Linked DNA regions of Lepisosteus oculatus. The protein of the gene in region 1 interacts with the protein of each later gene in a pairwise test. Links are inferred from orthologs where the notes say so. Each region holds a gene or a part of one and is shown on either strand. Other genes may lie near its edges.

What was found.
Region 2: the proteins of flt1 (region 1) and shc2 interact in a two-hybrid assay, tested with the Homo sapiens proteins (2 studies listed by BioGRID). The link is inferred for Lepisosteus oculatus from reciprocal best matches to the Homo sapiens genes FLT1 and SHC2.

The regions. Positions count from the first base shown.
Region 1 is NC_090700.1:5,799,746-5,807,014, reverse strand, and holds the start of flt1 (vascular endothelial growth factor receptor 1), read left to right. Parts: upstream 1-4,250; 5' UTR 4,251-4,659; coding exon 4,660-4,717; intron 4,718-7,269. UniProt on the Homo sapiens protein: Tyrosine-protein kinase that acts as a cell-surface receptor for VEGFA, VEGFB and PGF, and plays an essential role in the development of embryonic vasculature, the regulation of angiogenesis, cell survival, cell migration, macrophage function, chemotaxis, and cancer cell invasion.
Region 2 is NC_090724.1:8,506,439-8,513,347, forward strand, and holds the start of shc2 (SHC-transforming protein 2), read left to right. Parts: upstream 1-3,897; 5' UTR 3,898-5,029; coding exon 5,030-5,704; intron 5,705-6,909. UniProt on the Homo sapiens protein: Signaling adapter that couples activated growth factor receptors to signaling pathway in neurons. Involved in the signal transduction pathways of neurotrophin-activated Trk receptors in cortical neurons.

The DNA.
Region 1 (7,269 bases):
TGGGTAAACACCTGGAAGATGTATACAAATGCAAAGTGTTGCTTACAGGTAGCAGAAACATAGAGTAGGTTATAGATATTGTAAACACTGAGCCACTGTAAAAGAAGCTGTCTGTGAAAAATATCATTTTTGCAAATTTAGTCATCACATTACTAAAAAAGATTGAAGATATTGGTGCTCTGGAATCATTCCAGAGAAGAGCAGTAAGACATTCCATGGTTTTAAAGGAATGTCTTGGAGTGACAGACTAAAACAACTAAATATAGTCATGAACTGGAGAAGACTCCTGAGGGACCTAACTCAATTATTCTAAACCCTCAAAGACATTGAGAAAGTTAGCCCGCTGGATTTATTCAGAATCAACAGTGAAACACAATCCAGAAAGAAAACACAAATTGATACTAAGGGAATGTGTGTTTCTGAGACCTAGAGGCATTTTTTACACAACGGGCAGTGGCAGTATGAAACAAACTCACCTGTTCAGAGAAGAAGCTGAAACTCTGGCTTCCTACAAGAAAAGGCTGGAGGAGATTCTTGGATTTTTTAATAGAAACAAAATGAACCGGATTACCCAGATTACATCTTCTCATTTTTAACTGTTCCTAGATTCATGTTTGACAAAAAAAACATTTTGATAATTAGCCAATATTAAGCTTTAATAATCAATCCAATTTAGAACTCCTAGTTTTCTGTACCATCAAGTACTGGTTTAATAAAGTCTGATGGGCAGAGGAAGGGATGTTTTAATTTGTTTAGTACAAATAAGATGCTTGAGCACATGAGTTCATTAGACCAAGAGCCAGTCTTCATTGACTGGATGGCTTTTTGTCTTAACCTGTAACCTGCTGCACATACGTTTCAATTACTCAAGCATAAATGCAGAGATGGATGGAACAGCTCTTCAGGCATTCCGTTTTTATTGGTCATGGAAGGTCCTCAGACCATCAGAACGTTTGGGTCTTCCCTGAGCTACGCAATTGTAGTATTCTTCAGTTTAATAAAATTGATTTACTGTATTAAGTTTGTACACAAAAACCTGCATTACCATAGACGGATTTCTGTCCAGCTGTGTTAAACAGGGATTAATGCTGTACGTGTCGCTAGTCAAAACAGACTGTTTACCCAATCACAGCACCTTGCTATTAAAAGCACTCTTGGGCACCTGTCCCCAGGATATCATTGTTAGAAACACAATGGAGCAACTTTAGTCTCCTTGGCATCAAATTGTGTATAATACAGGAAGAAGCGTTTCCCTGTTGGGAGCCACAAAGTTTAGTGTGAATGAACTGCCTTCCTTCAAAACTGGAAGGTGAATGACAACCCCCCCCCCACTCTCCAAACTCTGAATCTTTTTAACAGGCTTCATTTTTTCTCAAAAAAATCACTATCCCAATATGAATCAATAACATACGAGCCGCGCTTATGGAAATCCTTCACTGGCATTCTAAGAGATCACTCAGTTTTTATTGTTGGGATCAAAGCAGTGATATTTATGAAGGTATCCGTGAATCAATCGACTATAATACATTTCTTCTTAATTGATCTATTGAAGAAGTAATATGAGAAAACATCATGAATTGTTGGTCCATAGCATAAGAACCTTAATTCCCAAAATTGCTTTGAATGCTCTTCTGGGACCTGGTGTTTGACCTTGTCTGTAACCTCAGGAAGTGTAGGATACAACTACATGAGAATTCGACTTAGCGGATAACAGGACTATCGCATGACACCATTTGTTGGCTATGGGCCAAAACAAAAGCCAAAAACCACGGCTCCACTCTCTATATCACCTAAGCAAGTTTACGAGCTGAGACCACAGATTGCTCTCTTTCCCAGTACTTAATATCATTTAAAATTCTCTGTATCCCAACAGCACAAGGTTCTGTGTCTTAACTGAAAATACCTCAAGCCATCAAAAATAAGGACCCAGCAAGCTAACTGTCAATGTTTTTGAATCAAGGCAAAATGAGACCACCCGTCTTTAATAAGCAGCTGTAAAAATGCAAAGACCATAGGTGCTGAAAAAGGAATATTGGAGTACTCCCGTCATTCTGTCAGATCTCATTTTAAAAATGAGATGAATGAGATGGAACTGGGATACGTCGATTTCAGACACGCTGCACTGCACAGGTATTGCATTTTCAATGTGTACAGTACCTGTCTCTGATCCATTTTTCCATTTACCTGACGTCTTGTTGAATGTTCAATAAGTTTCCCAGCATATTGGCAAGTTAATAAAAAGGGTATTAAAGGTAACAAACGCTCTTTGATCTCGCTAATTTAGTCGTTTAGTAGCTAATCTCAAATTGTCCAGTCAGTTTTTATAAGCGCACAGAGTTTGGGCTTCAAACACCTGTGTGAGAAGACTGTTCCAGTCACCTCTTGTGTAAAAAAGGGGTTTATGTTCTCCATCCTAAATTAATTCCTTTTTAGTTTCCTACTACTGAATGTGAAATGTTCTCCAAGGGTGAACCTGACTTACCCTTTGGTATTCTATATGGTTGGTCAATTTTCCTCTTAAAATATATTATGTTTAGGCTGAAAACAACCTCCTTTAACCTGTCTATTTATGATAGTCCCCAGTGACCAGGAATATTTTTTGTTCCTCTTCTTTTAACTGTTTCTATGACTATAATATAATTTGATATTAAACTAAGCACACTGTTTCAACTGAGACCTTCTTTGTGTTCTGTATAGCTTGAACATAAATTCACACTTCTAGTTTACAAATCCAAAAGCATTTTGTTTGCTTATTTTATTGCTTCCCCACATTGTCTTGATGAGGACATAAAAGAATCTACATAAACACCCAGATCCCATTCATAGCTTCCTGTGGCTCAGAAGCACCCATGTGATATGTATAGTCTACAGTATGTTCCTGCTGTCTTTGTAGGTCACAATACATACTGCAGATAGATATCAAAGAAATCCGAGTTGGTGTCAGATATATAAATAGTACTTTAAATGTAATAATTTCTGCTCAAATGTTAAATTATTTAATATAATTTCAAATATTTACACATTTTTAAAATGTATGTGCCTTTGGCATTTATCTCCACAGATGTGGTCGATTGAAAAGTCAAGACAGGAACATATTATGTGTCAAAATTAGTCAGCAATTAAAGAGTGAACAGTTTACAATGCAAAGTTACATACAACAGATATATTCCATGAGCTTTATTGCAGTTATTCCAGTTAGCGTCCTTTTCAATGTTAAAATCCAATGATGGAATTAGAATGATCTTCATCCTTTGTTCACCTTGAGTTCAGACACGTTTCTCACCTGCAATTTGATTTGATTTTAACTGAAAGCTTCATTAACTTGCTGGGGATTTATGACTGAAAATAGACACTGGAAACCAATTGCCATAAACCTGTTTTAATATTAAATTTTAAAAGAACAAAATATGTCAGAGAAATGACGGTACTTTTTTTCTGGGAATTACTCCAGCCTGAAGTAAATGAATGCAAATACTCTTGTAAACCACAAATACACTCCTTATTTGATTTTGGACAGCAGTTCCCATAATGAATCACGTCCCACTGACAATCATAGGCATCCCACAGAGACATTCCCGATAACTGATGCTATGCAGTTTCTTAAAATAGATGCACAGGGGCTCGGAGGATCTGGTGGTGAGAGATGACCAGTGCTGTGCACAAGGTCTTCAGCCCACAGACATGTGTCCACTGGTGTGGCAGATTAGGATCAGTGGATGTGCTTGGGTCTGTGGGCAGAGGACATTCCTGTGTGCCGCCTGACTGCTCTGTGGATGCCTGTCTCAAACCAAACGCTGCAGCAGTATCGAAATTCAATTCCTCTCCCTTCATGTCCCGTCCAGCGCCTCACTCCGTAGACACACAAGGGCAGACTTCTCCGGTCCTGCTAAATTTCTTTTAGCCGGCTCTTAAGAGACTGTCTTAAGAGGCGTCTAAGACAGAAACGACCGCAAAAGCAGCGGTTTAGAGGTGACACAGGGTTTTCGGGCGCAGCTGGAGGCCAGAACTGCTCGGCTTCATCGCCACCCGCGCAAGGCCACCCGGGCGAGGCACGGCTCGAAACACGCACACTGCAAGCTGCGGCGCTTCACACGAGGGTCCAGGTTTTCGAGCCCCCAGAAGCTAAACTCGTTGGGGCTCTCTCGCGCGTGCGTGGGCGTGAGTGCGAGTGGGGACTAGAAGCGGGGGGGGGTCGTGCCAGTTATCTGGCCCGCTCTGCGCCCGGAGCCGCCCTGGAAGTGGCACCCTCCTCGGCGTGGCGAGAGAGACCCGCAGGTCAGCGCGTCGCCTGGAAGAGGGGGGACTGCGGGAAACGGGCCGGTGGGTGTTGCCGCTCATCTCACGTCACGGAAGCGTGGTTGTGAAGTGGTGGGGACGGAGAAAAAGTTATAAATCTCAACCCCGAGGGGAGTGGGAAAGGGATGACTGAAGCCCCTTTAAGCGAGGCGCGCTCGGACTGGATGCTCACCATCACACTCAGGACTCAAGCTACTGTAGGAATCCTGCTGTTATTCCCGTTTCTTGCTCTCTGAACGCCGGGATGTCAGTGTGCTAATCCATCGCGTTGTTAACTCTGGACCGTCACTGGGGCAGCTGTAAAAAAGGGAATTGTGCTCTCCGAACCTTCTTTGCCGAAAGGAAAGGCATTCAAGAAACGCGATGATGTATCTTGTGTTGATAGTACTTTGCGGACTCTCTGGAAGCGCACTATCAAAGGGTGAGTTTTGATTTATTACGAACTTGCTGTGTGTAAGTAGTGCAAGTTAGACAGAAACCAATTTCTCGTCGTTTAATAAAGATCCATGCAGGCAGCGCTCAGTTCGTTTGAACAACCTACTAAAAAAATCGTTTTAAGCAGCTCTTCATTAAGCAAATACATTTCGTTTTGAGCAGAAAAATTGAATTGAGTTTGGGTTGTCGTTTTCAACGGCTTTTAATTTCTGTTTTCCTTTAAAACACACAAGAAAGCGAAGTGTATCATCATCATCACCGACCTGGGCTGGGTACTACACAGACAAATACTACAGGAACTACACTGATTTTTTTAAAAATAATAATTGTTATATTTTAACAAAGTGTAATTCTAAAATGAATCTAATAATACATATTACATCAGTTACGATTTAACTCACGATTTTTTAAAGAAGATTATACTAAGGTGAAAAATTAAAGCTGTCCGCGATTCTTTTAATGATATACCAGTGAACATCAAGGTCTGGAGTTGCCTTTTCAGTGCGGCAGATAATTCTGATATACGGACTTTACAGATCACGTCTGCAGGTGCGCAACCATCCCAGTTAATCCGGCCGCCCCGCGTTGAAGAGCTCAAATAACGGGGATTTTTAACCATCCTTGTTTTCGGCTCTGGTTAAATCAGAGAAGGGCGGCGTTTCCTTTGCCTGATAAATTAGTTGAATGGAAGGGCTAATGCAAATTACAAAAGGTCATGACCACTAGAAGGAAACTTTCCAATTTACAGGAACTCGGACTAATCAACATATATTACTAAAACAGGCACGCAGGAGTGAACTGGAGTACCACCGAATGATACGTGCTGTGTTAGTTAGTCTTTGTCAGTGTTGACTTGCTAGTAAATACGTGGTTGACTCATGAGCAGGTTCTTCGATTCTGTACTCACCAGTACATTGTTTGCTACCGACAAATGATGTTTGGGAACAGAAACATTTTGCCTGCTGCTTCTTCTCCTTGTTGAAATACAGCGTATATAGCCAAGTCGTCTTAAAGTTGTTCGTTGAATTCGTTTAAATAGATTCGAAGAAAATTACATGAATTATTGACACCCGCTGAATGCTATTATATGGTTGACCGAAAACATAATTTTAACTTGCTGCTTATTTGTAAAGCTTAATAAGCGATGGGAAAAAATGAAAATGAAATGGGAAAAAATGTATTAAAATAGTCTTGTTAATTCCGTGGTTATTGATAAGGAAAACGTAGAAAGCATTGAAAAATTGACAGATTTTAACACAAACCGTTATTGGGTTCAAATTGAACACCGACGCATCTTTTCGATAGGTTCTCAATAAAACATTTTCCATAAGTAGTATTTTAAGTCTTGTATTTTATACCTAGATGAACGCAAATATGTGCTTTCGATACAAGCTGGGTGTTAACAAACAACGAGCTTAAAACGAACACGCGTCAGTTGAAGAACATTCAACACAACGGTTGAAAAGTATCGGAAGCAGAAAAACAAAACTCAAAGGTCGTGAAGATGTTAAGTAAACGAATTACATAAAAAGTGTATTTTTTCCTGACGCGTTCTGATGTGATTATCACTTCACAGTGGGTGTGCTCTGTGGGATTTTAAGGGTTGGCTGGACCTCTTCTGCGTGGGAGATGCTGAGAAACACCAGCAACTGGCTTTTTCTGTGTAAATTCCGGAGATACTGTAAATTCATGTGGTAAAAATGTACGCCGGTTGTACAGCATCGCTGATGCGTTGCTCCAACGTCCGTTCATAGCCTTTCAATCCGGTGGAGACATTTTGCCCTGTCTGTCGATCTTCAGATCACTGAAAGTGTGATTTCATTTATTGCGAGAGCAACCGAAGAGTGTGTTGGTCATTCAAATGATATTCAGCTTAAAGTTCAGAGCAGAAAAAATAAATAAAATTAAAACAGACCCACTCTCCCGTTCAACAAGCGGTCTTGGGTCTTCTTTAGGATCTGTGCCCTATGGCTAGCATCACAGGAGTGAGTCTTTTCCCTTCACATTGCGGCACGGTGATAACCCTACTGCTCGAAACCCAGACCAAAAGATCACTTTATACCTCAGGGATTCGGCCAGCAGGACGCCAAGTTCCACGCAATACAGATAAACCTAAACTGAAGGGAAAAATATATAAAAAAAAAACAACAAACCGCTTCCCACCCTTTTGCCCTCTCCTCCCAAAATTCAAGCCGCTCACCGCGATTCGTGAAAATGCCTTTCCACCTGTTCGGTTTCGAGAAGAATGGCGAACAGCCGGGAGGGAAGACTAATGAGGCTTGAAATCTATGCGGCCCGCAGTATTCAGCGGTGTGATTGATCAGCCTGGTGTGCGGGTTCGAGAAGGTCAGGGCTTTCTGTGCGTGAGTGATCAGGCACTGGCGACCGTTCTGCTCCAAAGCGATGCGGCACCGAGCGGACTGGGTTAATCAGAAAAATATTTTTTTTTTCCAATTTTATGGGGGTGTTTTATTTTTATAGGAATACGTACTGCGTAGGACCAAATGTACAGTACTTTCGAACTCCGATTATTTCAGT
Region 2 (6,909 bases), on another chromosome or scaffold:
ATAGAAAGCGAAAAAAAGCAGAAGTGAAAGACTGGCGCTTCAATCGTTAGATGAGCGATGGAAACGGTTTGTGTTGGTTGTGCTGCCTCTTTTTGTTGTGGGACTGGCACCACTCCATTCAGGAGGTGGCAGTAAATGTTCCAGACCTTCAGGCAAGACGAGCGTTTCTGCTGTTTTAAGATTTTGAAGCCTGTCTGTCACCAAGGCAAACAGCAGGTCAGGCCTCTGAGCTGATCTTTCAGATGCTGAAAAATCTGGCAAACCTCTCGGCCTTTTCTCTTGATGTGAAGCGCGGAGTGTGCCTGGGCATCTGTCCGTCACATTACTGCGCTGAAGAAATTCACAGACCAGCCTGGTGGCATTGCTGAGGGCTGAAATAACTGGAGCGATGACCTAGATTTGTGTGCGTCTGTGTGCCACTGTGTGGTGTCTGTGTGTGTATGTGGGTGTGGGGTATCTGTTTCTGTGTGTGTGTCAGTGTGGGGTGTCTGTGTGCCACTGTGTGGTGTCTGTGTGCCACTGTGTGGTGTCTGTGTGTGTATGTGGGTGTGGGGTATCTGTTTCTGTGTGTGTGTCAGTGTGGGGTGTCTGTGTGCCACTGTGTGGTGTCTGTGTGTGTATGTGGGTGTGGGGTATCTGTTTCTGTGTGTGTGTCAGTGTGGGGTGTCTGTGTGCCACTGTGTGGTGTCTGTGTGTGTATGTGAGTGTGGGGTATCTGTTTCTGTGTGTGTGTCAGTGTGGGGTGTCTGTGTGCCACTGTGTGGTGTCTGTGTGTGTATGTGAGTGTGGGGTATCTGTTTCTGTGTGTGTGTCAGTGTGGGGTGTCTGTGTGCCACTGTGTGGTGTCTGTGTGTGTATGTGAGTGTGGGGTATCTGTTTCTGTGTGTGTGTCAGTGTGGGGTGTCTGTGTGCCACTGTGTGGTGTCTGTGTGTGTGTCAGTGTGGGGTGTCTGTGTGCCACTGTGTGGTGTCTGTGTGTGTATGTGAGTGTGGGGTTTCTGTGTGTGTGTCAGTGTGGGGTGTCTGTGTGCCACTGTGTGGTGTCTGTGTGTGTATGTGAGTGTGGGGTATCTGTTTCTGTGTGTGTGTCAGTGTGGGGTGTCTGTGTGCCACTGTGTGGTGTCTGTGTGTATATGTGGGTGTGGGGTGTCTGTTTCTGTGTGTATGCGAGTGTGGGGTGTCTGTGTGTGTATGTGTCAGTGGGGGGTGTCTGTTTGTGTGTGTCGGTGTGGGGTGTGTGTCTGTGTGTGTTTGTGAGTGTAGGGTGTCTGTGTCAGTGGGGGGTGTCTGTCCGTGTGTGTGTGTGTGTGTGTGTGTGTGTGTGTGTGTGTGTCAGTGGGGGGTGTTTATGTGTACAGTCTGTGAGAGTGTGAAAGGAGTTGTTGTGTGTGTACACTAGCGTTCCTTGTCACCAAGTCAAACATGCACTGATCTTCAAACACCCATTGTGTGTTCTGCTTGTCTTTCAGAGCTGCTCTCTAAAAGCACTTTTAAGTTTCCAGTTCACCGCAGCCCTTACATTTTCCAGAAATCAATACATCACTGTTAGATCAACCGATGTAACAGTCTATATTAAAAAAGATGTCTGTTTCTGACAGTGTTGTTCAATATTAGGAGTACAGCTTTTCTTTTGAGGTTCAGATCCATTTTTCAAAACACGCAATTGCAGCTCTGCGACACCGTGCTGCTGCCACATCTGCACAGCGCTGTCTTTTATTAATTCTATTTTGGTTTTAATGAGAAAGGTGTGCATTACAAATCCCCGCTTAACCTAGTTTGGGTGGCTCTGTGATGCTTAATTTCGTCATTCTTCTGCCTCTCAAATAATGGCAGGGAGGAGAGGAGAGGAGAGGAGGGGGGAGGAGAGGGCTTGAGCCTGCTCGCTGTGATTGCATTTAATGTGTCTCCTGGGAACTGGAGAAACTGAGAAGGAAGAGCAAGAATCCTGAATTCTTTATGCTCTTGTTGGCTAAGTTTCCCTGTCTTCCAGTATAATATTGTTAGAATCTGGTAAGACAGGGCAGAAGGAAAGATGCGGAGAGCCCTGTCCTCCTCATTTTAGGTGCATCATTTCCTAGCAGCAACAGACTTGAGAATCCAAATGGCCAAATTTATGTTCTTTCAAGAAAGTTATGAACAAGGCTAGGCCCTTTCACCCCTTGTGCTCATCTGGTAGTTGATCTCATTGAGCTGTTTCTTCAAGGTTCCCAGGGTACTGTCTTCAACAATGTGGCTGGACAGATTGTTCCATACACCTACCACCCTCTGTGTAAAAACATGCCACTTGTTGTCAGTCCCAAATACACTTCAATGATCATTCCAGTGTTTCTGAGTGTGAAGCAGTCCCTTGGGCTGACTATATCAATTCCTTTCAGGATGTTGAATACCCATATCACACTCTGTTGTAATTTTATACCCCCTGTTCCAGACTAAAAAGATCCAGTTCCTTGGACTTATCTGTTAATGCCATTCGCTCTAGACCTGAAATTATTGAAAATAAGGTTTGCTTATTTTCAACTCCAATCTACCGATTCATCATTTTATCAATCGATACTGTCGCTTATCTGAAAAAAAAAGAGCATTTTTTCATTTTCTCATTTTCCGGTCCCAAGCTGATCCTGAGCTGCCCCTCCCTCTCAGAGATCTGGCTAGAGTACCTCCTTTATATCATCTCCTGTTAGGGCCATAGCGCCTCCATCTGTCAGAGGAGGGGATAACAGCCTGGAGCACTCTGGAGGGCAGATGTCTCCGGTGCTATATGCTCTGTGCATACAGTATATGTCGATGTGCACATCTGCTGTGTGTCGTTTTGTCTTATTTTGTCCTGTGCTGTCTGCAGCTTGAGTGATGGTGGCTCTGGGGACAGTCTGGGTGAAGAGCTGAAGAGAAGAGCTCTCAACAGGTAGCCTGGCTTTTTTATTCCTTGGGTTTTAAGTTGTGCGCTTTGAAAAAATGCATGCATGGGTGGTGTGGCCTGCTGCATCTCTGTGTCGTGGTTTTGGGTTCAAATCGAAGGCACAAGTTGTTGTTGTTCTGATCTTGTCACTTTGCTGCTCAATGACGTCTCAGGAAAAACACAGTCCAGCAGCAGCGCTCTGACAATCCTGGGTTTGATCTTTGCTGACGGTTGTTAGTTTGTTAAAGATAACGTGCGGATCAGCCAGTTCAATCTCTCACGTACAACTGGCTTGAAACTAACACCTTTACTGTGTTCATGTCTGTGTACCCGTCTCTGTTTCAGTGTTGCCATGAGAGAATTGATTCTGAAAGGCAGTATATGGAATAGAGATGATAATACATGGGTTGTTAAAATGGTTCATTTAAACACAGATGAAATTCATCATCATCTGGGGGGGATAGGGCTGATATAGCGCCCTCTGGTGTCTAGTGTACTTACTTACAGGAGGAGGCATTCACCCAAGCCCCATCAGAAGGTGTGTCCGATTTCATTGGTCAGTGGTGCCCAGTTTTCTACATGGACTTGATGGGAGTACAGTCAGTTAATAGTAGTTTTTTTTTTTTAGACATTTTACCCCCAAAAAACATCTGGGAGTTTCTTCCCAACCTTGAATTTAACCATGTGAATTTAACATGTGACCTGTTCTTAAGTCAATAAATTAATCTTAACGTCCAAGTTTTGTTTGCAGTGACAGTGTGACCTTCCTGCTGGGGGCGCAGACAGGGGGTGCCCCTGACCCGAGCAGGCATTGAGGGGGTGAGAGTTTGGGAACACTCGCAGGAAAGCAAGCTACCTATGATATATGATATATGATATATGATATATGATATATGATATATGATATATGATATATGATATATGAAATATTATATATTCATCCATGTTTCACTGTGTTATGAAACCAAGGCAGTTTGTGTCCTTTTAAAATTTTTTAAAATGTTTTTAAAAACTCAAGGGCACATGTTTCTGAGACCCACCCCTGAACCATCAAAAACAACCGGGAGTGGGTCCCTGAAACTGTGTAACATTACCATCCGTATTGCAAAGCTCCTGTAAGGGCAAAAATGCTCCGACTTCTGAAAGAATCTCAGTTTGGCTGCAGGGAGGGGGACTGGGAGTTTCATCCAACACATCTATACACACCCTTGGGTGGACAGTGTAGTCTCACCTGCTTTCATCAAGACATTTTTGCCCCTTTCCAAATCACGTGCAGTGTAGTTTCACCCTCCCATGGTGCCCTGTGCCCTGTCGCCAGCCCTCCCCTGCCTCCGAATGGGCTCCTGAGGGGACTGACTCGCTCCACAGCCTGCTGTCCCAGCCCTCCCCTGCCTCCGAATGGGCTCCTGAGGGGACTGACTCGCTCCACAGCCTGCTGTCCCAGCCCTCCCCTGCCTCCGAATGGGCTCCTGAGGGGACTGACTCGCTCCACAGCCTGCTGTCCCAGCCCTCCCCTGCCGCGCAGCGAATCCGCCGGCGATGTCTTCGGAAAGCTAAACGTGCTTGAGGCAGCGTTAAACATTAAAATGAAACGTGATCCCCCACGGTGTGGCGCCCCGCCCCCTGCTTGACGAACACAATAGCGGGGATGGAGCCTGCGGCCGCAGGAGGGGGGGGGTCCTGGCTGGGAGGGAGGCAGGGCCAGATGTTGGGAAACTAATGCTGCCTGGGAGCAGCTGGGCTGGGCTGGACTGCTGGCTAATAGATGTGCAATCGCACTCACACGATGACATCACTGGCTGTGCTGCACGGGGGGGGGCTACAGACAGGGAGGGAGGGAGGGAGCCCAGCTAAGAGCAGAAGAGCTCAGAGACAGGAGCAGAGTGAGCGTGAGGGAGAGAGCGAGGGAGAGGCACCGAGAGAGGGAACGGGACACCGTCGGCATCACAGTCAGGGAGAGCTCTCTCTCCAGGAGCCGGCGCGCATCAGTGGGAAGAAAGAGATTTTTGTCGTCGGCTTTTTTGGGAGGGGGTTCTGTCTTCCTCTCCCCCCCTCCCCCCTGTCCTCTCCTCTCCTCTCCTCTCCCCTCATCCTCCAAACCCTGCTCCCTTCGTCGGGCCGACCCCCCCGGGCATGCTCCTTAAGCCCAAGTATGACCGCTTTCGCAACGACTCCGTGACCTCCTCCGATGACCTGATGCAGAACTTAGCCATGAGCGGCAAAGTGGCCAGCACGCCGGCCAGCTCCGCCTCCCCCGCGCCCCCGCCGCCGCCGCCCACCCTCGGACCCCTGGGCCGCCACCCCTACCCCCCACCTGCCCTGGCGGAGTCCCCCTGCCCAGAGGCGGACCAGGATGGGACCACCACCTTCTGCATGCTCATCCCCAGGATGCCGCAGTGGAAGTTCTCCAACGCGTCGGCCTTCCTCAGCAGGAGCCCATCCAGCTCCAGCTCCAGCTCCAGCGGCAGCGGCGGGAAGGACGCCGGGGCCAAGAGCGCCCCCCAGGGGACAGCCGGGCCCGCGGCCCCGTCCAGCGGCCCCGTGGCCAGCCTGGCAGCCGTTCTGAACTCCTGTGACCCGGTGTGCGTCACCCCTTGTTCCCTGCAGGCCGTGAGCAGGCTGCGCGGCGCGGCGGGCAGCGGCCCCGGGGTGCCCGCCGCGGGCATGAGCCGGAGGCCCCGCGTGGACGGCGTGAGGCTGGGCGGGGAGGACTTCACCCACAAGGGCAGCTTCATCCACAAGCCCTCGCAGGGCTGGCTGCACCCCGACAAGAAGATCGCAGGGCCGGGGGTGTCCTACATAGTCAGGGTAAGTGTGCGTCGCACGCGCGTAGCCCTCCTCCCGCGCCCCTGCGGCGGCTTCGCTGTGGGCCCCAGCAGGAGCCCTGAAGCTGTGCTCACAGGGAGATGAGCTGCCTGTGTTTTGCAGGGTCATTCACTCTCCTGGGCTGCAGTGTTTCTTAACCTGCTTGGGGTCTCCTAAGCTCTTTTCTTTTCACCTCACACGCTGTGCAACAGCAGTGCATGCCAGGCCTAGCTCCCGTGCTTCGAGGTGCGTGCCTGGGAGAGGGAACGGAGGGATTAAGTGTGTGCCCGGGGCTGTGTGGCTGCGACTGCGTGTTTGTTCCGGACGAGGTTTGTTTTTCTGGTTTTGGTAGATCTCCAGATGGGTTCTGTTGTGACCCCTTTGCTGGTTGAATTCTCTTTTTTGAGTCTTGCAGGCTGTTTCTACACTGCAGCCCTTGTTGTCTGGACAGTGCTTCGCAGTACCGTGTTCCTAGGCCGTGTGTACCTGTGATCTTCCTGTGGCTTGTAGCTGACCGTGTCACGGTGAATGCGTGCTTTGTTTGTGTGTCTGCGTCAGCATCCTTATTTGTGCTGGTGTGACAGTGTGGGCACCAGCTGGCGCGTTCTTTTGTGTGAGTATCGGGGGGCTGGATTCTGGATGTATGTGTTGGTCTTGTAGTTTCTGTTGCTGTGAGCGAGCACGCACCCCAGCTGGCCTGTCAGACAGCCCTACACTGCGACTGAGTCTTTAGTTGAACATCCACAGAATTCGAACAGACTGTGGACTTGTGTTCAGTTTCAGTGACCTGCTTGTTTGTGTGCCACTGACCCTTGATGGGAGTATATACAGTGTCTTTTCCTTTTTTGTGTGTGTGGGGGGGTGTTGCTAGCTTTATAGAAATACACAGACCACTCCTGCTTTCAATCTCATGCTCCAAAATCACTGTCCCAATTCTAAAACGTTTTCTTCCAAAATGTTTTTTTTTAATTTGCAGAGCCCATCAGTAGAAGGGGGAGGGGAGGGAGGGAGAGTCTTTCTGAAACAATAAATATTGCTCTCTAGAGAAATCTGTAGCACATAGCATTACTTAGGTCTATAGTGGTGACAGCAACTCACACAAGGCTAGACAGAATTACTATAAATAAAGTGACATTTTTAGAAGGGCAGGTAAACACCATGTCACATCACAGCATCTAGATACAAACCACCTGTCAACAACAGTTTTT